2 linked regions of the Diceros bicornis minor genome follow. The protein of the gene in region 1 interacts with the protein of each later gene in a biochemical or structural test. Links are inferred from orthologs where the notes say so. Each region holds a gene or a part of one and is shown in the gene's direction. Other genes may lie near its edges.

Region 1 (15,174 bases):
GTCTTTTATGAAATGATTGTAATGGTGGTGGTGACAGTATTATTATTTTTTTTTTTACTATCCTACGTGGCAAAATAAACAGTTAGCAACCCTAGGTTGGTCCCTGCAGTTTCAAATGCAATCCTGTGTCTCGGTGTCAGGTGGAGGAGCTCTGAGGGCTGTGGGGCCGGGAAGGCTTCAGGAATGAGGCAGTGGCTTGGAGCGAGCGGGGTCTCCTCTGCTCCCTCATTACGCCTGGCTGGGCTGACACCCGCCTCGGTGCCCTGCTGGCTGAGCCCTGTTTAGATCTCTGTGACTCGTACCTGCCACCTTTCTGGCTCTGGGCGTTGATTTCCCCGAAAGCAGGAGGAATGGGGACGGGGCCTCGGGTGTTGGAGGAGATAGGTGGGCCCTCCCCAGGAGAGCGGGGCCCAGCTGGAGCTACTGGCCCGGCTCAGAACAGAGCCCCATCCACACGTCTTTGGCTGGCCCTTGGCCTGGTACAAGTGGGAATTCCTGGCCCTGCCCGTCACTGGAGCAGGTATGACAGCCACGCGGTGACACCAGGCCTAGGCACTTGGGTGCTTAACTACGCTGGGGCAGGCGGACAGATAGGCAGACGGGCAGACTGGCAGAGGGCCTCCACGGAGCCCACCCCCCACCCAGCTCCTGCGCACCATGGCCCAGGAGACCAGGCCGGCCGTGCCCAGGGGCAGGAGGGGCTGGGTGTTCTTGGCCTGTGTCTCCGTGGTGACCGCCCGGCGGTGGGCTGTCGCCCGCCGTGCCTCTCTGCGAAGCCTCACACCCTACCCAGCACCTCTGCCGGCACCAGCACCAGCACCAGCCACCGAGGTGAGTTTCCAGGGCAACCAGTGCCTCTGCCGAGAGGCTGGGTGGGTCACAGCTGGGCCGCAGCCACCGCAGCTACTGGGGAGGTGGCTTCCCTCTACTTCCTCCCCTCCTGTCGGAACTGGTTGAAGGAGTTTGGCTGGAAGCTGAGAATCTCCATCTCCCATTCTGGGTGTGAGGGAGGAGGCAGTGGGGGGGGGCGCTGCCAGTGGTGCCTGAGGATGCCCACCCCTGCCAGCCTGTCTCTCTGCTCTCCTCCCGGGAGGGTTGGGGCAGGTGGCTGTGGGTTGTCCGAGCTGCTCCTGTTCCTCTGGTGCTTCTCAGATTACAGAGGGCTTTCGTGCACTGTCTCAGCATCTGCTCTCCTAGAACCCTGAGAGCCAGATGTTGTTGTTATTATTATCTCCATCTTACTGGTAGAGAAATTGGGGCTCAGAGAGGTGAAGCTGAGGCTACAAAGAGGCAGAGCAGGGACTTGAGCACAAACCTAGGCTACAAATCTTGAGAGAGAGAGAGGCTCCCAAACCTATAGGCCCCCTTCTCAGCCTTGTGTGTCCAGCCTGCGGCCTGCGTGGGCTTGGCGTGGGACGGGACCCTGTCTCCGTCTCCGTCTCTGACTGTTCCCTCTCGGGTGTTCTCCGTGTTTCGGGCTCAGTTAGTTTGCAGAGTCTCTGTCTCTGTTTGCGTCTGTTTGTGTCCCCTTCTGCTTCTCTTCCTCTCTTCTGTCCTCCCCCTTGGGCCGTCACAGGTTGGATTGGTGGCCTTCAGGGGTGTCAGTGACCCCTGGGGTGTCGGGCACTGAGCATTCCGAGAGTAAGAGACAGTTGTCAGAGTGGCCCCCGCTTCCCACTCTGTGGACGGTGTTTATTACGGTGACCCTGGACTGCGTGTACACTCCTCTGAGGGCCCCTCAACATTCCGAGACTTAGGGGCTGTGAGCGCCCCTTTCCGGGGGAGGACAGTGAGGCCCCATGGCAAGTTCATGGCTGAGCCGAAACTCACCGTCCCAGTCTTGGGCCGTTTCCGTGGCTCCAGGCATCGATGCATCTTGCTCTGGTTGGCGGGGACAGCAACGCCCTGTGAGGTCAGAGATTTGGGTCGATGATGATGTCAGATCCTTCCACCCAGAATGGTCTCCTGGAGGCTCAGATGCTTCATTCGCTGGCTCTTGACCATCTCTGAGCATGGCCTCCAGCCTGTGGGGACCCTCCCTTCTCCAGAAGAGGAACAAGCCCCTGGAGGTACCCAGGAGCCCAGTGGCAGAGGAGGTGGGGCTAAGCCAGGCCCACCCACTGTCCCAGGACCTCCCACGCTTGGCCCAGGTGCATCACCTGCCAAGGTGTGTGCTCACCCGCCCACAGAGGGCAACCCCAGGACCTGGCAGGCCAGGAATGGTGACATCAGTGTCAGGAAATGACCAAGGAGCCTGGCCAGGCCACACCCTCCCCGTGTCCTCCCCAGGCTCTAAATATAGACCAGAAAAGACAAAGCAGACAGGGTGACCTCCATCTGCCCAGCACGAGGTGAAAGGTTGTCCACCAAGGCCTGACTTGAGTCTGGAGACCTGGCTCCTCTTCCTCACTGGGGTCACAGCTCCCCCGGCATTGCCTTGAGCCCAATTCTCATTCTGAGCCACTGTGTGCCTGGCAGACCTCCCCAGAGCTGCACCCCAGGCCCAAACCCCATTCCCCGGGACCCCATGAATCAGCTATCATGTACCGGGCAAAGGGGTGGGTGGAAGGTAGGGAGCATGGGCCGGGCAGAAGAGGGGCTGGCTCGAGGCTCCGGGGATGGCAGCAGGTCTGTGTGAGCCTGGCTGGGCATGGTGAGAGAGGACCCCGAGATGCAAGGTGGGGTGCACCAAGCAGTTGATCTTTTGCCCGAGGGCAGTGCTGGAGGCTTTGAAGGGTCAAGACCCCTGTAGCTGCCGTGCATCAAGGGGATCAGTGTTGGGATGAAAGTGAGAAGGAAAAGGGGCTCTGGAGGTTTGGCCTGAGCATACCTTTCCCTTCAGCCAGAGGTGGCTGCCCAGGGGCCTCTAAGCCAGGGAGTGACGGAAGGCCCAGTGGGGTCTGTGGCAAACCCATGAGCACATGCCTTGGCTGCGGAGGACAGCTGCCCGTCAGCTCCCGCCCAGTCTCCTGTCGTGCGGGAACGCAGACGCGGTGTGGCCAGGTCGTCCAGTTACAGGAGAAGCCAGAAATGTGGATTTTTATATGAAATCACCTGACCTTTTACTGTTGGCTCAAAAATTGAAAAACACTTTGCAAGCCAAACAAAACACACGTGGGCTGGATTTGGCCTGGTTCTCGTCCTTGGCTGTCAGCTCAAAACCTGTCTTTTAAGCTTCCTGTGCCAGGAGCATCCCGACTGCGGAACAGTCTGGACAGCATTGTTCTTGGGGCCTCTTGTGACTCCCGAGGAGGGGTGGATGCTTCCCCCAGGGAAACGTTGGGAACCCGGGATGCCTGGGGACGAGGTGGGCTGTGAGCAGGATGAGGGAGGAGAGGAGTAACACCAGTTCATAATCACCCGCACTTCCTACAGTGCTTTGTGCTCTCTGTCCCTCCCAGCAGACCCCCCAGCCCCCAGCCTCGTCTGACTGCCCCACTGAGCTGTGTGACTTGGTTTCCCAGCCGCCCACTGCTTTGGCCCCCAAAGTGAAGCCTCCAGCCCCTTTTGTGTAAGGATGCTATGAGTGCCGCTGGGACATAGGACATGGTGAAGCTGTCATGCCAGGTGTCACTGCCATGGCCCGGGGTCTGAAGATTGTCACCCCCCCTCCATGGCTGCTTGGAACCTCAGTGGCATTGGAGGATGAGTCTCAAACTGTGTCCTTCTTCTAACTTCTATTATGGGGAATTCCAAATAGACACAAAAGGGAGAAAAATGGCATAAAGGCACCCCAGCTTTCACGATCACCCGTGCAGGGCCACTCTTATTTCTTGTCTGCCCCCACATCCTGCCCCCCTCCTTCAGCGGACGATGTTTACACAAATCCCAGGCATGTAATTCCATTCATAAATATTCCACTATGTTACTCTAATAATAACCAAAATCCCATGATCACACCCAAAAAATGATGTCGAATATCCAAATATTCAGTAGCGTTCAAATAATCCCAGTGGTCCCTTGGGTTTTTTTTTTTTTTTTTTTTTTTTTTGTGAGGAGGATCAGCCCTGAGCTAACATCTGCCAATCCTCCTCTTTTTGCTGAGGAAGACTGGCCCTGGGCTAACATCCGTGCCCATCTTCCTCCACTTTATATGGGACGCCGCCACAGCATGGCTTGCCAAGCGGTGCATCAGTGAGCTCCCAGGATCCGAACCGGCGAACCCCGGGCCGCGGCAGCGGAGTGCGCACTTAACCGCTTGTGCCACCGGGCCGGCCCCTTAGGTTTTTTTTTTTAACAGTTGCCCTGTTTGAATCACAATCCAAAATCCACATGTCGCATTTGGTTGACATCTCTTACCTTCCCATAGTTTCCCCTTTATTTTTTTCCCGGAAATGTATTTGTTGAGGAAACTGGGTGGTTCGTCCTTAGAGATCCCCACAGCCTGGAATTTGCCGATTGTATCCTATGGCGTGTTTAACATGTTCCTCTGGCCCCTGTGATCCCCCAAGTGGGAGCCACCTGCAGACGCCTGGTGGGATTCAGGTTTGGTTTTTGGCGAGAACACTTCATGAGTGGCTCTGTGTTCCTGGTCACAGGTGGCACCTACTTTCCTGGTCCCCTCTCTGTGGGGCCAGCCCTGCCCTTGGTAAGGGATCCACCCCACAGCTTTCGGCGGGCATTATGAGGGGAGCTGCATGAGGGCTCGGGAGAGGGCCTTGCACACGGGAGGCACGCAGTGCATCGCAGCTCCTGTCGCTAACAGTGTGGGGCAGTCTCCGCCTGCCTGACCTAGGGGCACCGGGCACCTGTGGAAGGGGCTTCACCTGTGCCGTCTCATTAGTTATGCCCCCATTACACAGGAGAACACTGTGTCTTGGAGGTGAGGTGATTTGCCTGGGGGAAATGGGGTCACACAGTAAGAAAGGGGTGAAGCTGGTCCTCAAACCCAGGCATTTTGGTGCCTCAACCTGTCCTCTATGCTACATTGACACCCTGGGAACTAGGGGTGTGTGTGTGTGCAGCTGGAGTGGTGACCAGGCTTGCCAGGACCCCAGAGGGGAGCCCCAAAGTGGGGGGCAAACAAGGCAGGGAGGAGGACTTCATAAAAACAAACAGACATTAACCAGAGGGACTGATTAGGTAAAGGATATACCTCCCCACCCGCTCTATGCATGTGAGGTCCAGGGAGTAGGATGGCAGGCAGCCCAGGCGGCTGTGTTGGGGGCAAGTGTAGTGATGGAATTCCCCACTTCTCACCTCTCCAGCCTACTTGGGCCCTCCCAACCCCAGCACCCTGGACCTTCAAGGTCAGAGAGGTGGTGACATGGGATACACTCCTCTGCACTCTCCAGCCCTTTCCAGGCTGTAAAATGGGCACGAGCCGGCTTCCCAGGCCCCTCCCTGGGAGAAAGAGATAAGGAGAGCAGAGAAGAGATAAAGTGAGCTGCAGGCAGGTGCTGGATTTACTCAGCAAGTTCTGAATTCCCCGAGGCTGAGAGCTTGGCCCCAGTAGCAGGAGTGGGAGGAGAAGCTTTTAGCCAGAGGGCATGTCCAGTGTCCTGGTCATCCCTTTGTTGCTTTGGAGGACCTCTTTCCTCTAAATGTGCCCCTCCCCCAAGGACAGAGCATGGAAGCTTCCTAACCAGCCTCCTAGGAATCACCACCCCAAACCAAATCTACCCATCTTGCTTTAAAAAAAGAACAAAAACACAGCACTTATGACATGTGCATGATTATTAAAATATTTTAGAAAAATTGGAAAATTCCAAGAAGTAAAAAGAAAAAAACGTATAGCACTGCCCAGAAATACCCACCATTACTTTTGCAAAGTGGGTCCCTCTAGCCGTATGCGTGTGTGTGGTATCTGGTTCTGAAAGCACATTCTGCTGCATCCTGGTTTTCTCACTTCACAGGTCCAGGAGAGCATTTCCCTGCATCCTGGGTCTGCTGTGCTGCGCCATGGCACCGAGGGGCCTGTCAGTTAGCATAGGGCATTTGAGTTGATTCGGTTTGGCAGAATTGTAGTCGAGGTTTCCATCAACATCCTCGTACAGAAATCCATGTCCACACCTCTGATTGCTTCCTTAGGGTGAATTCCTAAGAGTGGGATTATCAAGTCAAAGGGCATGAGCGTTTTTAATGCCCTTAATAGAAACTGCCAAATTGTTTTCTGCCCGTCTTTGTGAAGGCCTTGTACCCGGACAGAAAACCACCAGGCTGGCGCTCAAACTGGGTCCACACGTGGGTGGTGCTAGAAGGGGTCCCACCGTCCATGGATATCTGAGGCTTGGCACACAGTGGGTGCGCAAGACTGGCTTGTGGAATGTGTAGTCTGGTCCTGCCCTCTCATTTTACAGATGGCGAAACTGAGGCCCAATGGTATTGGACCGCTTCTGGGAGGGTGGTGGCATTGCCAGGGCTGCAGCCATCATCGCCAGCCTCTGTGAGGGCTGAGGGCTGAGGGCTGAGGCCAGGCAGGCCCCAACAGAGGATTAGGTGTGAGGGAGGTTCCCATTCATTCATCTATCCGCACAAACACCCTCTTGACCGCTGTTAACCTCCAGGCTCCCTCTTCCTTCCTCACCCGCTTATAGAAAGAGTAGCTGAGACTCCCTAGCCCTGCTTCCTCCCCAGCCCTCAGCAGCCTCATTTCCACCCTGACTGCTGCCCTGAGACCTTAGGCACTCAAGCCACCAGTGGCCCCAGTTGACCAGGCCAGTGGCCAGGTGCTGTGGCGGGCAGTTGTCACTCCTGATCTCTTACTCTTTCTTGAATGTCTGCAGGCCCCAACCCCGGTGACACCTGGTCTCGGTTCCTCCCCACCTCCCTGTGCCTCCTCTGCCTCCATTCTGCCAGGGTGGCCAGAGGGCTGAAAGGAGATAGTGCAGGCAACCGCCCCTTTGCAAACACACTTCAACACTCAGGATTTCCAAAAACCCATGTGCACCGGGGACACGGTCATCCTTCCAGGACTCAGGAGCACACAGTCAGGCCCAGGCACCAGCTGAGTAATAAACATCAGTCACCCAGTGTGAGCCTCTCCGATGAAGAAACTGAGGCTCAGAGAGGTTAAGCAACTTGTCCAAGGCCACAGAGCTAGGGAGGGGCTTGACTGGAATTCGTGGGAGGTGAGTCTGACTCTAGGGCCACTTGACCACACGTCAACTCGTACACAAGTCACATCTCTACACAACACATACACTGCACCAGCGCACGCACCGACAGAAGGTGCCTGACCGCCGTACCCACACCCCACAACACACACAGCACGTGTACTCCGGAACACGCAAGCAGCCAGCGGGGCCGCGGGGCGGCGCGGGCGCGCACACGGCCCCCCGTACCTCCGGCCCCGCCCCCGCGCCTCCGGCCCCGCCTCCCGAGGCCCCGCCCCCGGGCTGACCTCGGCGGGGCCGGGCCGCGGGCGCAGAGCGGAGGCAGCACAGAGCCGCCCCCGCCGCGCGCCGGGCCGGCCTCGCGCCCGCGCCGCCCCGGGTCCCGCGGCCCGGCCGGCCGCCGCGAGCCGCCCATGGTGCAGCGCATGTGGGCCGAGGCGGCTGGGCCTGCGGGCGGCGCCGAGCCGCTGTTTCCGGACTCCCGGCGGAGCCGCAGCCTGTGGGACGCCGTGCGCCTGGAGGTGGGCGGCCCCGACAGCTGCCCGGTGGTGCTGCACAGCTTCACGCAGCTCGACCCCGACCTGCCGCGTCTGGAGGTGGGTGGACCGGGCCGGCCCGCGGCCGGCGAGCGTGGGTGGGGGCCCGGCGTCCTTAGCGGGTCTCCCGCCTCCAGTTTGGGTCCGGGGGGAGGGGACGGTCCTTCCGCAGAAATCCCCCTTCTTGCTCCGACCGCAAGGCAGCAAGATGGGCGTGGGGGCTGCCGGCACACCCGAGCCAACAGTTTGGGGACCAGAACCGGTCTTCGTGCCCCCTGTATCCGTCCGTCCCAGGGCTTCCCTCACCGGTGTGCCGGCCCCGCGCCCCTGCAGCCCGGGTAGACCCGTTCCCGCGGGCTGTCACCGGCTGTTTACATCGGCGAACTTCCCAACAGCAGGGGCTGGGCCGCATTTCTCCTCCCTTGCCAGCGCGGGCCTGCACCGGCGGTTGGGCTTGCCAGGGCAGGTGGTGAACTCGTGGTTAGGTTGGCAAAGTCCTAGAACCCTCATAGGCGGTTGGGACCCCAGGGGCCTTCCAGACAAGCCCGCCTTGAGGGCAGAGGAGGGGCGTGGAGGAGAGGCAGGCCTCCCACCACAGGGCCAGGTGTCCAGGCGGGGAGGTTGGGACAAGGGCCTCTCCCGCCGAGGGGGTGACTCATTTCTGCTTGGTTAGAAAATACACCAACACCTTGCGTTTGTAAGGATTTGGGAAGACTCAGAGAAGACGGAATGTGCCTGTCAGGGGTGGGGGTGGGGGTGACTGGGTGAGGGCTGGGACTCTTGTTTCTAGTGCTCTGGGCAGTGGGGCCCAGTGGGTCATGGGGTCGTCACCGGGGAGGGGGGATGCCCTACTCCTTCTGCCACCTGGCTGTGCACCTGACTTGGTTCAGTGGAGGTAACAGATTCTGGGGATGGGCCCCCTCACCCCACTCTGCCTGAGCATGGGGCCTGGACAGAGGGCATCCCTGGGTCGATAGAGGCCAGAGCCTCAGCAGTGAAGTTCCGGAGCTCCCCACGCTGGTTAGGGCCCCTTGGTGCTCCCCCGCTTCATCACCTTAGGCCCTGGTTCGTTGTAATTGCCGGTGATTGCTGGCCTGGTTCTTGTGTCTCTGCGTGTCCTCAGTGCCTAGACAGGGCCTGAATGCATAATTGCTCAAGGATAACATACATGTCCCTGCACAGCGTGGGGGAAGGCAAGAGGTGGGGCAGCTCTTAGTGGGGGAACCGGGGGGCTGGGAGGCCCTTTCCTCCTGAGCTTGGTGGGTGGCTGCCCCAGGCATGTTTTCCAGCCTTCATCCAGCCACAGCTCTGGTCTTCATTGGCAGCTGGAGCTGGACCCCTGGGAGGGTGGTGGGGGGGAGGCCTGACACCAGCCCAGTGCTCATCTGACTTTCATTATGTCTGGCAGCGACTTGGGCTTTGTGTGCTGGGAGGGTCCAGCCTGCCCATTCATGGGGGCTAGGCAGGTTCCTGGCCAGGGTGGGGCAGGCCACTCGGCAGCTTCTGTCCCTCCTTCTTTCTGTTTGTCTGTCCATCTGCATCCCTGAGGAATTGAGGGAGAGGCAGATCTGAGCCCTACCCCTGCCCAGGGGTCTGCCTTGTCTCTCTCTCTCTCTTTCTGTCTTTCCCTTTCTCTTTCTCTCTCTTTTCCTCTCCTGCTGCTGCTGCTCTCCCTCACCCGGCCTCAGCACTGAGATCCAGGCCGTGGCCACTGTTTAGAAATCAAAGGGGAAGCTTCTGGCTGGGGCAGAAAAACCAGGGTCCTGGCAGGAGAGGAGGCCACTGCCGGAAACAAAACACAATAACCATTTACCATGGGCCGGGGGAGGGGGTGGGGAAGTCCCTGTCCCTCCTGCCAACACCCGCCCCCCCCCCATCCTGGGGCTGATTTCCTGGTCGCTGTAGCGTGCCAGAGCTGAAGCAGCCCTGCTTGTGGTCCCTGTCCTCTGGAAACTACCAGGCAGCTTCTGCCTTCCCTCCCCCATCCCCATTTTCCTACCAAGCCTCCACCCAATCCTTCCCTCTCTGGGCTGCCAGATGTCCTCGCACATCTGGGCATCCGCTCGTCATCTTGATTCTAAGCCAAGGCACCATGTGATTGGCCTGCGCAATTCTGTGCTTTCTGGAGGTCACCTGGCCCATGCCCCCGTCTCCAGGCAGGCCACTACCTTGGCCAGGCAGGGGGCGTTCTCGAGTCTGTAGTACCTACTGACTGCAGATACCACCCCACCCCCCCATTCCAGCTGGCTTTGACCAACCCTCCAGAGTAGGTGCCAGCCCCCCTGTATAGGAGACTGGAGCTCAGAGAAGCGATGTCCCTGATCTAAGCATACACACAGCCAAGGAGGACACAGCCAGGATTTGAACATGGGCTGTGTTCTCTCTCGGGCGCCTGCTATGTGTGCATGAGCCGGCAGGGATCAGAGAATGATAGGGCAGAGCTTTGCCGAGGCAACTATGAGTGCACGGGAGGAGGGTGGAGCCGTGGGGGGAACGGAACCAGGCCCAGGCAGCCCAGAAGCCCCGAGATCAAGTGAGGGGCGGGGATGCTTATAGACCAGCAGAAGGCAAAAGTGCTTTGGGCCTGAGGACACTGGGGAGAGCTTCCAGGAAGAAGCAAGCCCACAGCTGGACACCAAAGGTTTAAAATAATAGCTAACATGAGCCAGCACTTGGTGGGAGGCTCTGTGCTAAGTAATTTGCATTCATTATGTCCTTTTGCGGTCAGCACTATCAATAGCCCATTAAACAGACAAACAACTGAGGCACTCGAGGTTAATTAGATTGTACAAACTCACCAAGCTAGTAAGTGGCAGAGGCGAGATTCTGACCCGGGCTGTGTGACTGCAAGGCCTGAGCGCTGTCTGTGGGCGGAACGGAATGCAGAGGGCTTTTCTGCTCTTTGGGTGGAGGTACTCCTGGGAGAGTTGCCCTCCAGCCTCCCCGCCTCCTTCCCGGTTGTCTGGTCTCTTGATTGCACTGTGTGCAGGGCTTCAGTTTAACCCCCAGCACTCATTAGCTTCTGACACTGGAGGCCCCAGAGGCATGGCCTAAGGGGTGCACATATGTGTGCATGTATGTGTGTCTGTCTGTATGTCTTCGTACTGTGATCTTCAATAGGGGCTTACTGGCTGACTCCAAGGGGGCAGCCTCTAGGAGCTGCAGTGCCTGTCAAGTTCAGGAGGAGACTGACCGACTGCCGCCTGCTGGGCCTCCACAGACCCTCAAGTTCCATTCTTACTTTACTCTTCAGGGCCCCAGGAGAAGAGGAGGGAGGAGGCCAGGCTGGCTAGTACTGGGTCCTCATACCTTCTCTACATGGGAGACACTTGAGCATGCTGGACTGCTTCCCTAGAGGCCCAGGGATGGTCCTGGTGCAGGAGTGGGTGCGTGCGGTGGGGGGTCAACCTGGGAGATGTTAAATTGCTTGCAGGCAGGGCTGGGGTCCAATCCTCAACCTAGAAGTTGAGTTTCCCAGGCTCCGTCTTCATTGCCGCTGAGAAGGGGCTGTAGTAGATTGAGTGAGCCCGTGAGGGCGGTTTCAGGAGGCTGCACCCAGGCAGTTGAGGACTGATTCCCAGGGGCTGCTGGCTGGCCGCCCGGACAGCTCCCACGCCGTGGCACCGTGCTGTGGCCACACTGTCCAGGCGTGGGCCTCCAGCCTCGCAGGCCCAGAGACACCGTGTTCCCAGACACACGGTTCCAGCAAAGTGACTCTCCCCAATCTGATTCCGAGGAGACGGGAGTTGAAAGCTGCAGCCTAGTGCAGGAGAAGCAGAACTGTGGGCAGACCTGACTCTCCATCTCCTGTCCGGCCCATGGCTGGGGAGTGAGCAGATGATAGCCCAAAGGTTGCTCAGTGAGAGGCAGGGGCACCCGTGTGCAGGCCTGCATCCGGGGCCTGCGTTCCGGGAGCTCTCGGTGTGCGTGCTGCTTTGGCATTTCCTCTCCTCTCCAGGGACCGTTGGATGTTTGCACAGGCTGCTCGGCAGTCACACCTGGAGGTGTGATGTTGTCCTTTTGTACCCAGGGGCGGGGTCACGTATGCTGGTAGAGAGCTTGGGCTCTGGAGGGAAGGGAGCTGTGCTGGGATGCCAGCCCGGCCCCTTGCAGCCCTAGACCTGCTCCTGCTCCCTGAGCCTCAGTTTCCTCATCTGTAACATGGACCTGTTGCCAGATCCTCCCCTTAGGGTTCTGGTGAGGATGGAGTGAGACAGGTGGCCTGACAAGCAGTCCCCACGGTACCTGGCACAGCATCAGAGCCAGACAGGTGGTGGCTGCTGTGATTGTGTTTTCTGACAAGGTGCCAGGGGAGTGCCCGTGCCCTGGGCTCCTGGGGTATGCTGCCCAGCCCAGTCAGCAAGGTGCTTCCCAGGCCTGGTTCTCATAGCTGACCTCAGGGCCCGTGGGTGCCCTGGCCGTCCTGTGCCAGGAGCCCCAACAAACCCCCTCTCAGTGGAGAGGTGCAGGTGTGAGCGAGCTGAGCCCTGCCACCCCCGACTGGCTGTGTGACCTGAGAAAGTCCTTCCAGTCTCTTGTCTCTCTTCCCACATCTGTGTGACCAGGGGCTCGACTCTGCTCTGAGGCTGTGATCATGGCAGCCACTGGTGGAGCAAGGCCTAGGTGTGTCTTCACAGGACATTGCAGTCACGGACCAGGGTTCAAATCCCTGCCCCAGCTGCCACTTCCTCGCTCCTGACCTGGGCGAGTTCCTGCCCAGTTCTTTCCTCATCCATCAAGTGAGGTGTTGGGAGGGTTAAATATGATGAGTGGGCAAAGGGCCTGGCACCCAGGAAGTACCCACTGGTCAGTGGGGGACACTGGTCAGTGTCCAGTTGGGGGTGGACCTTCAGCTGGCCCCGCCCTGCACCCTCTCGGGACCAGGCCATCCTCCTCCTCAGCCGTCACCAGCCACACCCCCTTGCAGGCCTGGCCCCTGGTGGCCTGCTGGCCTGACAGTCAGGAGCCGGTCACGAACAGACAGGAGGATGGGTGTGGGGAGGGCCAGTTTCCCCTCCACACCTGAGGCACGTCTTTCCTCTAAATGCTGACAAGTAGCTGGGGTCAGGCTGGCGAGGAGGATTCTTGGGGAGATGGGTCAGCCTTTGCGGCGGGCTCAGCACAGGCTGGTCCCCAAACTCCAATTTCTGGGATCACCAAGCTCCATGGTTGCCCTGGCAACCAGGCACTTTGTGTGGTCCCTGGCTGAGGCTGCCTCTGTGGGACCAGGAGTGTGGCCCACCCCCATCCAGGGCCAACTTTGCATCCCCACCAGGGTCCTGTCCATCCATGCCTTTGGGTTCAGGGTGCAGGCCCGAGGGCAGGCCCTGCTGCACCCCAGGAGGGTCATGCCTGCTTGGCATTTGCATTCTGGCTGCTTTGTTGGGCGTATGGTCTAAGAGATGAACCAGGACCTAGACTTGAGAAGTCCTGGTTTCTCTCCTCAGCCTGGAGACTCTCTACTTGACCCTGTCTCCTGAGCCTGTCTGTACTCTGTAAAATGGGCGGGTGGCATGGTGTTCAAACTGTCCCAGGAGCCAGGGATTCTGGAGAGGCTGAGCAGCCCTCTGATCAGTCTCACGTTTTGGCTCCTACATTTGAGCACAAGGCTAGAAAGTCAGAAAGCTGCCCGGCTGGCTCCCACCTGCAGTTTTAGGATGACCTGCTCCCTCTGGGAGGGGCACTCCTCCAGGTTCCTAGGGCTCTGGCAGGTCTCACAGGTTCCCACCCGCCCGGTGTTCCTCGCCAGCGCGTGGGGGCTGTGAGCGGGGGTCGGGTGTTCCCCAACAACAGCAGCAGCATCGGGTCCCATTTCCTGAATGCTTTCGTGTGCCAGGTGCAGATCCGGGCACACTGCCTGCGTTCTCTTGTGACCCCCCATTTCATAGATGAGCTCACTGAGGCTGAGGGTTGAGCAGCTCGGCAGAGCTGGGAGTCAGAGCCCTCCATGAGAGATGTGACTCTGGTGTCTGCTGGGCCCTAGGGAGGGACCTCGTGGCCAAATGAGGGCCTCAAGGTGACCTCTGTGACTCAGTGGACCTGGCGAGCAGCTCAGCAGGGTGCGGCAAGGTCCCCAAGGGGTGATCTCATGTACTTGGGGGCGCTGCGATTGGAGCCACCCCCACCCTGCCCGTGTGGGGCCACGCCTGTCCACGTGCGGGCCGGAGAGGAGATGAGAGGAGACCTTGGTGCAGGCTCCAGCCCTTCTCCTCCCTCTGTCTCAGCCCTCCGCCAGGTCTCCTTAGGAGGAGCCAGTCTGCGGCCAGAGGTGTCTGTGGGCCTAGTTGTAGCTGCCTCGGGAAATGTGCGTCCAAGTGGGGAGCCAGAGCGGAGGGGTGATCGGGATGGGACAAGGTGCTATCCCCACGTGTCTAGGCACAGGCACCTTCTGGGAGAGGTGGAAAGGCCCAGTAGGTCCTCTCAGGTCTGTCCCCAAATAATGGGTGAGATCGACCCCATTATTCTGCCTTGAGGGAATCAAGGCTTGTCCTGCAGCCGGTCGGGGACACAGCATCCTCCTGGCCCGTCACCAAAAAAGGCTGATCGGATGACACACTTAACAGATGCCACCCAGGCCATTTCCCCTCTCGTCCCCAGGGCCCCAGGCTGTGGGCTTCCTGATGACGGCTCCTGGGCCTCCCAGAGCCCTTGAGGGTCAGGAGGGGAGGGCACCCTGGATGCCTGTCGTGCCGGCCTCTGCTCTCCGTGGGGACATCACACCATCCTCACTCCACTTGATCCAGGTGGTGGGAGGCCAGACTGTGTGTGCAAGACACAGTTGCCCACTGGGTCCCAGCGCCATGGGGGTATTGGCGAGTGCCTGCTTCGGGTGAGAGAAGAGGATCTGTCCCCTGAGGACACAGCCGTCCATGTGGCATTCTTTTCCCCAACAGCCAGCTGAGTGCTGCCCTGTGGACACCTCCCTTCAGGACATCTGTTAGCTAGGCCATCCCCCACCTTCCCCAGGAGCTCCCCAGCCCCTGCCAGAGCGTCCCTGGGGGGCCTGGGCGCTGTCCACTCTGCTAACAGGGTGGCCCAGGGTCACCTTCGGGCACCAGGGCCCTGCCCTTCCGACCCTAGAGGGTCCTGGGGGCAATGCCAGAGCTGTTGGCCACTTTCCTTCTCTGTCCCTGGAGGGGGGTGGGAGCAGGGAACAGATGTCCCTCTCTGCCACTTTCTGCCCGGGACCAGGGAGAACTCGCTTTAGAACCCTCTCCTCTGTCGTGTCTTGGCAGACAGTGTAAATGGTGCCTGTGCTTAGCGCTGCTCTCACGGTCTGGTTTTGTTGTTCCTGAGGAAGGAACCAGAGAAGACAGGGTTAGCTCCGCAGGGCTGGAGCAGCTCCCCATCTGTGTGACAGGGTGGTGACACCCCTCCCCCATTAGCATGTGTGGCTCTCAGCATCCTGCCCTGCCCCCCACCCGGCTGGCAGAAGGGGGCCCCTCGGGAGTGGGGAAAGGGCTGGGAGATCACATGACACCCAGGCAGGGCTGGCCAGCTGCTTGCTGCCAGCGAGGCCCATGGCTCACTGCAGATCTATGTGCTATGAGACCTGCTCAAGTGTTGGCAAGGCCGCCCAGCCC
Region 2 (15,050 bases), on another chromosome or scaffold:
TTCATTATTTTTAAAGTTCTAATGTAATTAGGAACTCAGAGTCTGATTGATACCTATTCTTTAAAATGTATTGAGATTTTTCATTATGATCTAGTATATGATCAATTTTTGCAAATGTTCTGTACATGCTGGGAAAAAACACATATGCTCTAATCATTGGTGGTAGAATTCCATATATGTCCATTAGTCCAATTTTGTTAATTAGCTATTCAAATCTTCAATATCCCTGTAATTTTTGTCTGCTTGAATTACCAATAATTGAGAGAGGAATATGCCCCATAGGGGTAGATTTATCAATTTTTCCCTACAGTTCTATTAATTTTTGCTTTATATAATTTGAGGCTATTTTACTAGTGCCTATATAGCAAAAATTCTTGGTGTATTGAATCTACGATCTTTGTATAGTAATTCTTTCCAAGCCTAAGAATACTTTTGACTTACAATGAATTTAATCTGATACTAATACCACTATATCAGCTTTCCTTTGGTTAATAATTTGCCTGATAGAACTTCTAACATATCCTTTCATTCAATTTTTCTATGTCCTTATCCTTTAGGTGCACTTTTTGTAAACTGCATATAAATGGATTATTTTTTTTTAACTGGTGAGTTTAGTTTTTATAATTATTGATACATTAAATTCTATTTTGACTATCTTATTTTTTCAGTATCTTTAAATTCTATTACTTTTAATATTATTCTTCCTTTTTTCTTTTTGTGAATACTTATATATACAATCTCCCTCTTAATAAGACAAGAACACCTTTGGCACATTCTCAAACCTCTTAACGTAACCCCCATCATGCTATTATATAGACTTTTAATTTTGAGGAATTATGGATGTATTTTTATTTCTCTGGTTTTAGGTTTTTTTCTTTTTTTGTGTGTGAAGAAGATTAGCCCTGAGCTAACATCCCATGCCAATCTTCCTTTTTTTTTTGCTGAGGAAGATTGGCCCTGGCCTAACATACATGCCCACCTCCCTCTACTTTATACGGGATGCTGCTACAGCATGACTTGACAAGCCGTGCATTTGTCCACACCTGGGATCTGAACCTGCGAACACTGGGCCCCCAAAGTGGATCGCTACTCCACAGGGCCGGCCCCTGGTCTTAGAGATTTTTAAAGACAATAACTGATATTACTAAAATATTTGATCACTTTTTCTTCATACATCTTGTGCAACATCACTTAGATTTTTTTCTATCTTTTCCTTAAGTATTTATCCATTGTTTTCAAAGTGGGTCTCTGTGTGGCAATATTCTGAGGCCTTCCATGCCTGAGAATATTCATATCTTATTCTCATACTTGAATGACACTTGGCTGAATATAAAACTTCAGTTTCTAAGTTCTTTTCCCTTCAATATTTTGAAAATCTTATTCTATTGTTCTTCTTGCTTCTAACGCTGCTACTGAGAAATCTGTGTTTAATCTGCTATTAATCTTTCATACTGTAAACATTTTGTATTTTCTCTTTGTCTTGGTTATCCAAAATTTCACTGTAATCTGTGTAGATATGGGTTTTCCATATCACTCTCCTTTGATACTCCACGGTCCCTTCGGTCTGAGGTCTTTTATTTGTTCATCCACCCATTCATTTATGGGAAATTTAACATTATCATTTCTCTAAGAAGTCATCCATCTATTTTTCCTTCTTCTTTTGGGGATTCCTATTATCTGTATGCTGCCACTTCTACTTTGGTTCTTCACATCTCTTGGCTTTTCCTTTTCCTATTTCTTTGAACTTCTCTTCTTCCTTCTGTGAGATGACCTCCATCCGGTCTTGCAATTCACTCATGTGTTCCTTAACTGTGTCCCTTCTGCTATCTTCTGCTCTCTCTCCTGTTCTTTAACTACTACCTCTTTCATTTTTAACATATCGACTTCATTCCTTTCTGTTTGTTTCTTTATTTTCATATGGCTAACACTATCCCTTATTTTTTTTATTATGTTTATTAGGCTAATTTTAAATTTTTGGTCCATTCTAATGTTTATGCTTCTGATGGAATCTATATATTTTTTTCTTTTGAAATAGTTATACTTCTCAAAATATCTTGTTATTCGCCATGTGCATTCATTTTTCTCTGAAAATGTGTATGAGGATAGGCCTAGGGTGACCCACTAGGACTGAGGAGTTTTGTAGAATGCGGGACTAAAGCCAAGACAGTCCCAGGTAGACAAGGATGGTTGATCACCTTACTAGACCCCATTTCGAGTCATGCCAAGTTGCTCAGAGGGTGACAGCGAATGAGTTTTAGAGTGGAGAACGCTAAATCTCAAAAAATCACAGAGAGAAGCAACATCAGTAGGAGCAGTCCTTGTGTTGTAATTGACCAGCCCAGGGAAGTTAGAGCAGGTGTGGGTGGGCAAATGCCCAAAGTTGGTTAGGACCTAAGGCGTTTCTAGGCTCCTCACAAGCACAGGGCTTCTGTGCAGCCCTGATTCTCCTCTTCAGTCCACTTGATTCAGAACTCTAAGTCACCACACGCTAGGGGGAGGGAGCAGGCACTGATTTTCCCAAGGCAATGGTGAGCGAGAAGCACAAGCAGATTTACAACAGTTCTGTTCCTGTTTTCTTCTCCCACAGTGTGGCCCGCTGCTTACTGCCCCAGGCCTAAACCACCACTCCCCCAGCCCCCGTGCCAAACAGTTCAAAAAAAAAAAACACCTCTTATTACCACGGTTTTCTCATAGTTTTCTCCATTTGAGGGTGTTTCACCCTCTATGTTACTCCACTGATCTTGGAGGAAGGAGCAGTAATAATGCTAGTTCAGCATCTTCATATCACATATTTGTATAGTGGTTGCTAATTATTTTTAAATTTTTTATTAAAAAAACAAAGAGTTTCTTGGAGATGTGGGAAAGGGCTTTGGAAATGGCAAAGTACTATAAATATTAGTTACGTTATTATGAATAATATCAAGATGTGTTCATATGCCTCCTGTAGATTAATTTTTCAAAAATATTCTTATATTTGTACAGAAAATAGCATTAGAAAAATTACTACAAGCAAATTTGACCAGAAACCACAAAATGTCTGACAAACTTCTGATTTTTATTACAAGTATTTATTATTGTTGCTATACTCTTACATTTGGTACATCTATGAGGTTTTTTATTTCCAAAATGCAACACTAATCTGTACTTATTATTCCTTACAGCTTTGTTATTGAAAAGATTTTTCTATGGCAAGGTACAAAACGGCATTCTAGGGAAAACATTTTAAATTACATTATTTACCAAAAAGACTATCTTTATATATTACTGGTCTATTGAAATTTTTCTTTTCAATTGAATTGCATTCATTTTTACATAATGCATGTCAATAACAGCTACCATGAAAAAAACAACCATAAGCAAAAATTGTTTTCCTGCCTGTCTTCATTTTTTGCTCCTCCTCATTTTTCTTTCTACTTCTATTTGTGAAAGTTTAAATCCCTCCTTCTTGATGCCCTGAAGTCCATAATTACTTCTCATGACAAATCTTTCATGATGCCCACATTATAAATTATTCATGATTTGAATGATGCTTTAATTTCAAATGTACCCTTGTACTCTTTCCACTTTTTCTTCTGTATTATTTTCCCTATATTTTTATACCTTTTATAATCTTGCTTTGAGATTTCTAGCTTCTGATTTTTTCCCTGATAGTTGTCCCTAGAAGGGCATTGCTACAGGGAATTAAAGAATCAAGTGATTCTGCATTTCCCTCACTTCACTCTTACTTCATTCCTGCTTTCTTCCTGTGTTTTTTTGGTTCCTTACATCTGGAGTGCTCCCTTCTGCCCAATCTAGTCTATTCTTTAGCCACTTCCTTCAAAATCTGGCTCCACGTTAATTTCCTTCAGCAGCTTTCCTTGACTAAACACACTCCAGTTTACTCCTTGTTTCTCTTGATCTCTAGAAATTCATGTATAAACTATACATAACATTACCATGTACTAGAAAATTATTATTGTAATTTTATTCAGTTATTTAGTTATATATTTTGTAATATTTCATTATGTTATTATATTTTATTATACACCCTTGTAACCTCTGATTTTTCCTTATTAGCATTAATTATAGCTATTACATAATGTAAACATGTAAGGGGTCACTTAATGTCTATCACTTCTGTTTATAATGTTTGTATCTCCTGCTAGATTGCAAGTTCTTTTGGCTGTCTACTGTTGAATCATCAGAGCCTAGAATGATATACATAGTAAGCACTCAATAAATAGTATGATGTCTTTCAAATACCATTCAGAATGTTAGTAGAATGAAGAGTGCTCACAAATGCTTGCTGATTTTTTTAAAATACCATTTTGTCTTGAATTCCTCATATTTTCTTTAACAGTTGGGATGTATTTGACTGCAAGATGCAGAAAACCTAACAGACTTGAACACTTAAACTAAAGGACACTTGCTGTTTACTTAGCCGTAAGTCCAAAGGTGGACATTTCCAGTATTGATTTGACAGCTCAATGTTGTCATCCAGGAGTAGGTCTTTTCATCCTTCTCCTCTGCCATCCAAAGCTGGTTAGTTTTCAACCTCAGCCACAAGGTGATGTAGCCCAAAGATGCTGGCCACATTCTCATATTTCAGTATGCAAAGCAGGAAGCAAGCAAGGGGAGTAATGTCAAAAAATGGGAATATCTACTCACTCTTGTGAGAATTCCAGAAATTCCCCACCCCCAGCCGCCTTCTTCCCGTTCCAATGGTGAGAACTGAGTCACGTGCCTTCTTCTGAACTAATTGCACAGAGGGGAAAGCACTGCCATTAATGATCAACCCTGATTCATATCATTTTTTTCAGCAAAAAGAAAGGGAAACTGCTGGGTATATGAGCAATATTGTGCCTGCTCTTCTGCTATGTTAAATGAACCACACTAAAGCTCTTTTTTCCTCAGAACCTTCACGTTCTTAAGATTATTCAGGCTTTTTCTTTTTCCTCCCTATATTTTAATCATTAAGCCTTTTCTTTCAGAAATTTTTTCTGCTTAAAATTGCCTTTTGAAGCATTTACTTGCTCAACCAAAAGGTTTCTTTCATTGACTTGTTTACATACTCAGTGTGTATTTAATTCCTTTTCTTTTCAAAAGTGCTGAGACATATCACATTTTCAAAAGAGAAATAAGTTTATTTTGCCCCTTCCTTTCCCTTCATACATACTTCTGTTTCTCAACTGTATTAGGAGCCTCAGAGGCCAAGAAAATGTCTTCTGCTCTCTTTATAATTGCCAGCAGCATTTCATAGGTGGTAAATGTACTCGACTCGTCCTTCCCCTTTATGGTTACTCAGAGAGACGTAGGCTTTAATAGGAAGCAATAGGAATCAGGGTTTTATAGCCAAGAAGTGCTGGTCATATTACAAATGCCGTCTACTAACTTGTTTATATTAAATTCTTTGCATACTTGCTTCTTGCCAGCATCAGAGAGTCCCAGAACACAGTGTATTTCCCACTTCATTCCACCTTTTCCAACATCTTTTACAGAAGCAAGGAAAGGAGCTGGGTTTCCACGGTAACACAAGTGTGACAGTCGAGGGTATCTGGGCATAGGTGAGATAACTCTCCGATTCAGTGGGGAGAGGAGAAATGAAGTTTTTCTTTCTTTTTTTCTCCAAAGCAATGCACTCCTGAAGCTAAAGAGACCCTAATGTCAGCGTACAGTGTTAAGTTTTCACTATCATACAGATTTACAGCTCTTGGGGAAAATTCAATTTTATTTTATCTCATTTTTATTTTGTCCTTCCCACAAACAAACGAATGGAGACATAAGTTTTTATTTCTAAAATCACTCTCAAAATAGACAGTTCATGCTGGCATAGGAATGAACATGATTAAGGGATCAGACGACAGACACCCATCTCCCACGCAAATCTGCAAAATTCTCTACATATCCTGACATCCTTTCTTATAGTAGCTAATGCTTCAATCAGCATTTCACGTACAGCCTCAAATCAGGTAAGTACCATCACCCAAGACCGAAAAGGTAAGAAAACATGCTCCTACTCACCATGTTTCTCTTGTCTCTTAGCGGTTAAAAATCTACCTTTATGTCATTGAGAATGAAAACTGAGGCCTGTCAATATGAGAAATATAAATGAGATGCAACTACCCCAAGGGCTGAAGTCTCTACATTTCAACTTAGCAAGAAAGTCACCATTGATGAAAGTTCAGGGAAAAGAACCTGAGAAATGTCAAAAAGCTCGCCCACTCTTTATTACGCTAAGTGGAGTGACTAGGGAGCCCACTCACTATTTTTTTGTGACAACTTCTATCAGATGCACTCCAATTCCAAGCTTCTGAACTTCTGGGGACCTAGGAAATGAAAACAGTTGCTTAAGTTTACATTCTAGAACCAAAATGCCAAGGTAAATTTCTAAAGAAAGTCACTGGAAAGTGAATGGTTTTTCAGCTCCACTGTAATGCAAGGTACTACATGCATTGTAATGATCTACACAAGGAGAGCAAGTTTGATGCCTGTTGGCTCTATTTAACCCCCAACAAGTCTAGGAACTCGTTATCATCACAGTACACTATTTGGATCTTAAAAGAGACAGTCTGTTCTTCCTCTGAAAGAAGTCTAGCTGTTGCTAAGCTAAAGTAACCACAAATAAGCATACAAGTTTTACACAGAATATGAGACTTCTAAAAAGCTAGTGAACACTGTATTCACATACATCATCCTCTTCAAACATCCCTGCCAAAAAAGCTCATATATGAAGCGTCACTTCATATCCATGTGAGCTCTCTTAATTTCACTACACTTATTCACATTACTAGTTTAGGATGAGATATCAGATCTTCTTTGGTTTCAATTCTCTTCAAACATTCCTCTGATTCTTAGTTCTTTTGCAGTTTGCATTCACTGCTGATTCTGGCGGCTCAGATATAACCTCTCATATTTTGATGGCATGTAATCGAGAAATAACAATTGAGTTATATTTTACTAAACATTTTGACAGGAAACTTGTCCTCAATTATTTTAAACAAAAACTTGGTATGTGTTATACTATAGCAAGATAACGCAAATGTTAAGTTATCCGTTCTAACATAATGGAGCGACAGAGCAGTAGGACACTACTAAATCTGAGTACATCTTTGCAGTAGTTTGATAATTGATGGCAAAACAACACCTGCTTTTTTGAGGAACTCAGATTAAAATCCTCTCTATACGATGACCTTGTGGGGAAGGGGAGGGGGAAGAGGTACGCCGTGATCAAACATTAAAACTGTAGACATTTGTTATTCCTAAGAAACGTGAGCTAGTAGGGTGTAGACTAGTTCAAGAAAGACATAGTTTAAGGAAGGTAAATCCAATATCAGCTATCACAAAAAATAATCCAGTAATATCTGGGAATATAGCTTCTCAATGTGATGTTATGGGTGGGAGAGAGTGTGTAAGATCTAAAGCTACAGAGAAAAAACGGTAAGTTTTAAAACCGAGTAACTTAAAAAAAATGTTTTAGGAGGCACGCATGGAAGAACCATGCAACTGCTGCAGTACGGAAAATTTCTCAACCTAAAAACAAAAGTCCCTGTTTTCTCGATTCATCCCACGCTTCGGCCCACAGCCCTCAGCACCATTTCCATGCCCATCATTTAGGCAGAATGCCACGGAGACGACCTGAAAAGCGGAATTCACCACTCTCGCCTGCAACACATCTCGCTCCCTACCAGAACAGGGCACAGCGACCAGCCCCTCAATCTCCGACCCCTCCCAAACCCCACCAGCCCCGGCCCTGTCTCCACACCACCGGCACTCGGTGGCAAAGCAATCGCGAATTCCGGCTGGCTCAGCGCAAGCCTCCGTCATGCGTCAGCCCACCTACGATTGGTTGGCAGAGCGTGCGCAGGAGCAAACGCCCAGCCCGGCCAAGCAGTGGGAGGTGGGTTGGACGATCCAGCGACTAGACATTATCCCTGTGGGCCGATGGATGGGCGTCACGTGGTATGAAGCTGCTCCCTATTGGCCGAGAACACTACCATGGGGTCCAGAGACGGGGTCTGGTTGGCTGGAATGAATCCCAGCGTCCTACTAGGTATCCCAGCTGGCTGTTGCTATGAGGTGTCCCTGGGCCTTCTGGCGGCGGCTCGGGGCTCCGCTCTCCCGGTTTTCCAAGCGCCCGGAGCTGACAGGGCGTGGGAAGCGCTCGACAGAAGTCGGGCACTGAAGGGCGGGGCCGGGGGAGGTGGGCGGGGCCCGGCTTCCGCGGTCCCCGGCCTTCGCCGCCTCGGGCAGTGGGCTGTGAGGGGCCTGTCACCTCTCCCTCAGACCTGATGCTTAAAACAAAGCCTCATCTCGTGGTGTTTATGCGCGTCCCCTTAAACAAAGCTTCCTCTCGTTATGTTTACACAACATGAAACCAAAGCTTCTCAGGAATGCTGACAGACAGGAATGCTGGCCGACAGTGGTGTCGGCCAAGGCCCTCACGCCAACGCCTCCTTTTCGACCTTGCCCATGTCTTCTTCTCACTCCCCTCTTCAGGTTAAAGCCTGGAGATTGCTCTGGCCCGCCTAACACCTTGTCTCCGCCAAATTCTGAGCGTGGGATTCTCGAGTTGACGCGGTTCCCGGCTCAGGCGGACAAACTGCGCATGCTCAGTACGCAGGCCTGGGGTTCGACGGGGCGTGCGGGGTGGGGTGTTGGGCGTCCGAGGCGGTTGTTTATCTAAGCGCGGGCAGAGGCTTCCGCGCGGCGCTGAGCCTCCCGGGAGCGCGCGCGGCTGGTCGCTAGGCGACGGGGGTGGGGGCGGGGCTGCGCCGCCAGGCCCCGCCCCGGGCCGCCGGGCCCCGCCCCCGGCAGCACCGCGACTCGGGCTCGGGCGCGCGCTCCGGCGCCGGGGGAAGCGGCGGGCGGGGAGCTGGGCGTGGAGGCGCGAGGGGCGGGGCGGGCGGGCGGCACTGCGGGCCCGCGGCTCGGGCGGCTCCGGCGGCTCCCGCTTCCTGCTCGTCCTCAGAGCCTGCCGGCGCCCGCGGGGCCGCATTGCCGCCCGGCTCGGCCCATGCCCAGGGCCGCTGCTCCCTCCGCCGGCGCCCGGGGGGCTGCGGCGGCCGTGAGGTGGGGGCGGCCGCGGGAGGCGGCGGGGCCGGCCGCCGGCGCAGGGTCCGGGGGCGCAGCGCGGCGGGCGTAGGTCTATGTCGCGGGCGGCGGCGGCGGCGGCGGCCGCGGAGGGACGATGCGCGAGTACAAAGTGGTGGTGCTCGGCTCGGGCGGGGTCGGCAAATCCGCCCTGACCGTGCAGTTCGTGACCGGCACCTTCATCGAGAAATATGACCCCACCATCGAGGACTTCTACCGCAAGGAGATCGAGGTGGACTCGTCGCCGTCGGTGCTGGAGATCCTGGACACGGCGGGCACCGAGCAGTTCGCGTCCATGCGGGACCTGTACATCAAGAACGGCCAGGGCTTCATCCTCGTCTACAGCCTCGTCAACCAGCAGAGCTTCCAGGACATCAAGCCCATGCGGGACCAGATCATCCGAGTGAAGCGGTGAGAGGGCCGGGGTGCAGGCAGGGGGCTCCGCGGTGCGGTCGGCGGCCGCCGTCCCGGGGCCGGGACTCCCTCCCCCGGGCTCCGGCGTGGCCGTGGGCAGGGGGAGCTGTGTAGGGAGGTGGCTCCGGGGTCTTATGCTTTGTAATAAATTTTTTGCCAGCATCGCCATCCTCATCATCTTGAATCTCAAATTTGAGTGCTTTGTTTCACAACTCAAATTTGGCATCCCGTGAACCCACAGCACAGTTCTTTGTCTCTTGGATATTATTAGTAGCGCTTGTGCAGAACCCCAAAGGAGACAAAGTTTAAAACTTGCAAGGGGGAGTGGGGAGGGTAGGTTTGTGTTGGGAGGAAGGGAGCTGTGCAAGTGTAGTGGAGACATTTTCAGACTGAACAACGAAAAAACCTACCTTTGCAATATTTGACAGCAAAAATTGCTCACACGTATGCCGTAAAAATGTCAAGTCGAGAGGAAAGAGACCTTTCTCATCTCAAAAGATTGAATGGTGCCAAGGCGTTTTACGAAAATGAACTCTCCAATTAAGACGAAACTTTAAAAGCGGATTATCAAATTATTTGAAGACACCATAGCAGCTCAGTGGGATTGAGAGAGTATTAGCATATAAGAGTACAAATATGCCGTTCACATTAAAGAATGCAGCTTTTTGTTTTAATCTAGCTGCCTTACCCCCCTCAAAAAAAAAAAAAAAAGAAAAAAGCATTCCTGGAAACAAAAGAGAAGTTTTTTCAGGGTGTGACTCAAGTATTAGATAATTTAAAGTTAATGCAGATAAGGTCTATCCTGATAGAAACTCTTTTCTAGAGTATGCTTTTCGGAAATATGATGGTAGTTTAAATGGCTTAAAATGTTTATTTTCTGTTAAATTGAGTATATTTTTTCTATAGTTTCAAGCATTAAAAATGTAGTAATATCTTAGTTCAAAGTTTTAGCAGATTATTCTAATTACTGTTTAATTACACATTAATGTTTTTGTCTGGTTCTTATTATTAGTTAATAATTGCTAATAATTTTGATTTAGTTTTTCTTTTTCCCACCTAATTCTACCTATAGCTCTAACTTGAAAGACATTTACTGAAAGATGGTTGTAAGTGTACTGTAGACACAATCACATTATAAGTCAGTTGGAGTCTGCTCATTCTGAAAGAGCCAGGGCCAAGTCACGTGTACTAAATCAGGGAGTGCTCAAAAATTCATTACCAGTGGTGGATTTTTAATGCAACAGATGAGATCAAAGAGGAGGCTCTCTCTCCATGACCCCCCCTTAACTCACTGAATATGCACTTTAATAGCTAAACTAAAATTTTGTGTGTTATTTCTTTCATTAAATTTCAAAGTAGGATAAAGTGAATTTTTTCCTGGCCTCTGCTGCTGCTCTAAGATCTGTGAATCTGATAGCTTTTACTTCTCCAACCTTGTTTTCATAATTGCTTATAGTTAACAAATGAACGATTTTGGTGTTAAGCTTAATATGTATATGACATTTTGGGGCTACATTTTAGTGACTCATATCCTTATTTATTACTCCTCCCACCCCAGCTACTCAGAAAAATCCAAAACAAAACTGCAGAACAGAGTAGTCTAATATATTTCACATGTCAGTCTTAGGCCATATACATATATCAAATAGTTGAAGTAAATGCCTCACCCTTTGCATTTAAATATATACATATAATACATACGTTGATAAAGTCACATACCCAGGGCAAACTTCTTGAGACAAGCCTAGGGAACAGAATGGCAAAATATCATTGGATAGTATAGTGCACATGATTTTGTCGTTTCTTATGATTTAGTGCAGATTACTAATAATGGGTTAGTCTAAACTTGGTACAATTTATTTGTAAACTGGAACAATTTGCTTGTTTGCACTGTGACCCAGGAAGAAAAAAAGAGTAAAACTCTACTTGCCCAGATGTCATTTTACTTAGCAGTCTCAGTTTTGATGTAAAAAGATCATTGATCAGCTGAAATAGAGTCCATAAGCTCTTTTCTCTGGATTCATCCATTGTATCCATAAGACCCACTGGGGCCCTTGTGTGTCCTGATATTTTATACCTCACCCTAACCTCATCATCTGGCCTCCTAGCCTATAGCATATGATAAGCAACTTACCTTGAGAGAAAGAAAGGGTCTGTATATTATGTATACTATAATATATAATATATTATGCTAAAGCAAGTGTTCAGTGTAGTTCTTTAACTCTTCCCACTTAAAGAGAATAAGACAGGATTTTCTAATAAGTGAATTTTCTACTCTTTTTGGGTTTAATTTTTAAATTAACCAGTTGCTATAGGAGGTATTTAGTAATTGTTCCCTCCCCTCTGCCTGCTAGCTGCCTTACGTATTAATACAACAGTTGTTTGGGGATATTTAATATCACCATAAAGCAGATGACATAAATGAAGTGCAGAGAGGTTTGGTATTTTGCCCAAGACCAGTCATTGAGGGAGAGGTGATTTAAACCAAGATCTGCCTGAATCCATGTACCATCTTCTTTTCTTCCATACCAGGCTGCCTTTCAACTTGGTATTTACTGGCAAATTCAATATCTGGCCTTTGGTCTAGGGCAGCACTGATCAATGGAAATATAATGTGAGCTACATATGTAATTTTAAGATTTCTAGTAGTTGATTTTAAAAATATATAAAGCAGGTGAAATTAATTTTAATAGTGCATTTTATTTAACCTGTCATATCCAAAATATTGTCATTTCAACATGTAATCAGTATTCAAAAATTGATATATTTTACTTTCTTTTTCATACCAAGTCTTCAAAATCTGGTGTATAATGTACACTTAACAGCACATCTCAATTCAGACGAGCCATACTTCAAGTGCTCAGTAGTCACATGTGGCTACAGGCTACCACTGGACAGCTCAGGTATAAGGTGTGTATGTTTTGGAGAAATGCTTGCTTCTCTAAGCCTCAGTTTCCTTATCTGTAAAATAGAGTAGAGCATGCACCTCTTAGTCTTTGTTAGGATTAGATGATAAAATATGTTTTAAGGTGTCCAACACAATACCTCAAACAGAAATTGCTGCAGAGTTCCAGCTGTTCTTTTATTAATAACTTTGTTACGCTGCCTTCTTTAAATTTTATCCTTGACATAAATGTAATTTTGGAGGAAAGTAATGTGTGATTGTATATTGAAATTCCTTACCTAGTGTAGACAAGATGAGACTAAAAAGCAATGCAGAGTAGAACAATCCTTAGAAAAATTTTGTTGGTGTTCTCTTAAAATATTTTCCCTTATTAAGGATCGTGTGGGAAGGAGCAGGAGGATGAATATTTAACTTCAAGTATAGCACTAATGCATGGCCACACAATGAAATGGAGCTTTGCATTGGATTGTTCTTGTATGGAACGTTTTGCTTTCAAAAAATATAAAACAGGCCCATACTTCCTCAAGTGTTTACAGGTGCACAGACATCCATATACATACACAACCTCCTGTCAAAGCCAAGTGGACCAACTGAAAATGACTGTATTTATAAATTCCTATGCTTTCTTTTTTTAACTTGACTTTGATTGAGATCACACATAAAAGAAAGAGTGATAGGGATACAGAAAATATTTCCATTGAAATGAAACCAGAGTTCTTTCTGATTTCATAATTGCTTTTCTCATTCCTCCCAGGGTAAGCCATGGTCCCGGCTGGAGTATCTTGAACATGTTATCCAAGGCCTGTTGTTCTTAGGATGAAGCCCAGAAATCTTCCACATGACCTTCCCAGGCCCAGCACGCTCTTGTCCCTCCCTGCCTTTACAGCCTCACCCTTACAACCCTCCTCATCCATTAGATTCCAGTACCCAGACCTTCTTTTATTTCCTTAAAAGTGTCAATCTATAGGTTCTCTACCTGTGGAAATCATCTACCTTTTGCAGAGTTTATTCCTGCTCCCTCTTTCTCCACGGCTTAAAAGGTTTCCCCCTCAGGAAAGTCTTTGCAGACTGAATTAACTCCTTCCTGTCTTCCCACCCTGGATTACCTTCATGCCTCAGCCCTCCAGTGAGTACTTCAGACAGCACTGGCCCCCTGTACTTCCCTCTTCCTGTAGCACTCATCAAAGTTTCATTGTTTGTAAGATAATTTACATACAATCGGTCTCTCTCATGAAATTCTAATCCCAGGTGGCTAGCACAGCTCCTGGCACATAGCAATCAAGAAAAACATATTGAAAAAAAGTAGTGTTCAGAAAGAAAAATATTTTTATTTTCCTTTGGCTTTAGTTTCCCCAAACATTTTAATTTTATAGATGGAGAAGATGATTCTTTAAAGCTCATTTTGCAGATGGAGTAGATGATCTTCCTTCATCTCTAACATTCTCTGAGAGTACTTCTATCTAATTGGGGTGACAGGGGAAGAGGCAAATTTTAATATAAACCTTAAAAAAATCAGGAGCACGATGTTTTCCAGATGGAGGAAATAGCATGGGAAATGCATAGAATATATTTGTTAGCTGTTGAATAGACCAGATTGGCTAAACTAGAAATTTATATAGGAGTATGAGAGGAGATAAGGCCAAAAAATGTAAACCTAAATTACGGAAGGTTAAAGACTTTGGACTTGATCTTGTTGTCAAGGACCATGATCAGAATTGTTATGGAAGTAGTAATTATGATGGTAATGTGATAGATGGCTTAGTGGCAATAGGCCAGAGCCAGGAGGAATAGTTGTGAAGCATTGTGATAATCTAGTTTCTATATGAAGTATAAAGATTCTGAATTAGCCTGGTGTCTATAGGAACAGAAAGGAAATATGGTTCAAAATAATGTTGTAAAGAATGAATTAATCAAACTTAGGGGGAGGCAAGGAGAGGGAAAGGTCAAAAGTAACCTTGACATTTTGAACATGAGTGAATAGGATTATGGAGGAATAGCTGGGAGAGATTATTTCAGTTTGGAGATAGTGATCATCCAGATAGATACACCTAATAAGTAATTAAAATATTTGAGTAAAGCCTGAAAGGTCAGTTTATGTATGAATATAAAGACTCCTTCAGGATCATCTGCATAATTCAGATTTGGAGAGGAGAGGAAACCTGCTGGGTGGAGTATAGAGAGAGAGATGAATGGATACAGCCAGGAATAGAAATTAGAAGTGAATACGGCCAAGGATAGAACTTGAGAGTTGCAATATATAGAGGAGACTTCATACATTGCAGTAGACTATAAGGTTGGAAAAAAGAACAGGAAACGTGGTTGATATACACTACCCAAAATGAATGTTACTATTTTTTTATTATTAATATTTCTATATCATGTAAGTGATCACTTACAAATGACCCAAATGATTGTGGACACTTCTCCTCACAATAAGTAAGCCATAAAAACTTTCTCTAAAATGGAGGCAGATTGTCAATTGCTACACGTGGATCCTGACCCATAACAGATTAGTGCTGTGAGCTGAAACTAGAGAACACATCAGGTGATGTTTGTCCCAAATACGTGAAACTTCTGGAGTCCGCCACCATTCCCTCCTCCACAGATACCTCCTTCCCCAGTTTGATACCTCCAGTAACCAAAATTGTAATTGAAAGCTAGG

What was found.
Region 2: the proteins of RALGDS (region 1) and RAP2A form a complex in vitro, tested with the Homo sapiens proteins (2 studies listed by BioGRID). The link is inferred for Diceros bicornis minor from reciprocal best matches to the Homo sapiens genes RALGDS and RAP2A.

What each region holds. Positions count from the first base shown.
Region 1 is NC_080767.1:40,106,216-40,121,389, reverse strand, and holds the start of RALGDS (ral guanine nucleotide dissociation stimulator), read left to right. Parts: upstream 1-7,449; 5' UTR 7,450-7,468; coding exon 7,469-7,651; intron 7,652-15,174. UniProt on the Homo sapiens protein: Functions as a guanine nucleotide exchange factor (GEF) activating either RalA or RalB GTPases and plays an important role in intracellular transport. Interacts and acts as an effector molecule for R-Ras, H-Ras, K-Ras, and Rap.
Region 2 is NC_080748.1:73,726,908-73,741,957, forward strand, and holds the start of RAP2A (ras-related protein Rap-2a), read left to right. Parts: upstream 1-8,933; 5' UTR 8,934-9,166; coding exon 9,167-9,480; intron 9,481-12,273; coding exon of another isoform or gene 12,274-12,460; exon of another isoform or gene 12,461-12,548; intron 12,549-15,050. UniProt on the Homo sapiens protein: Small GTP-binding protein which cycles between a GDP-bound inactive and a GTP-bound active form. In its active form interacts with and regulates several effectors including MAP4K4, MINK1 and TNIK.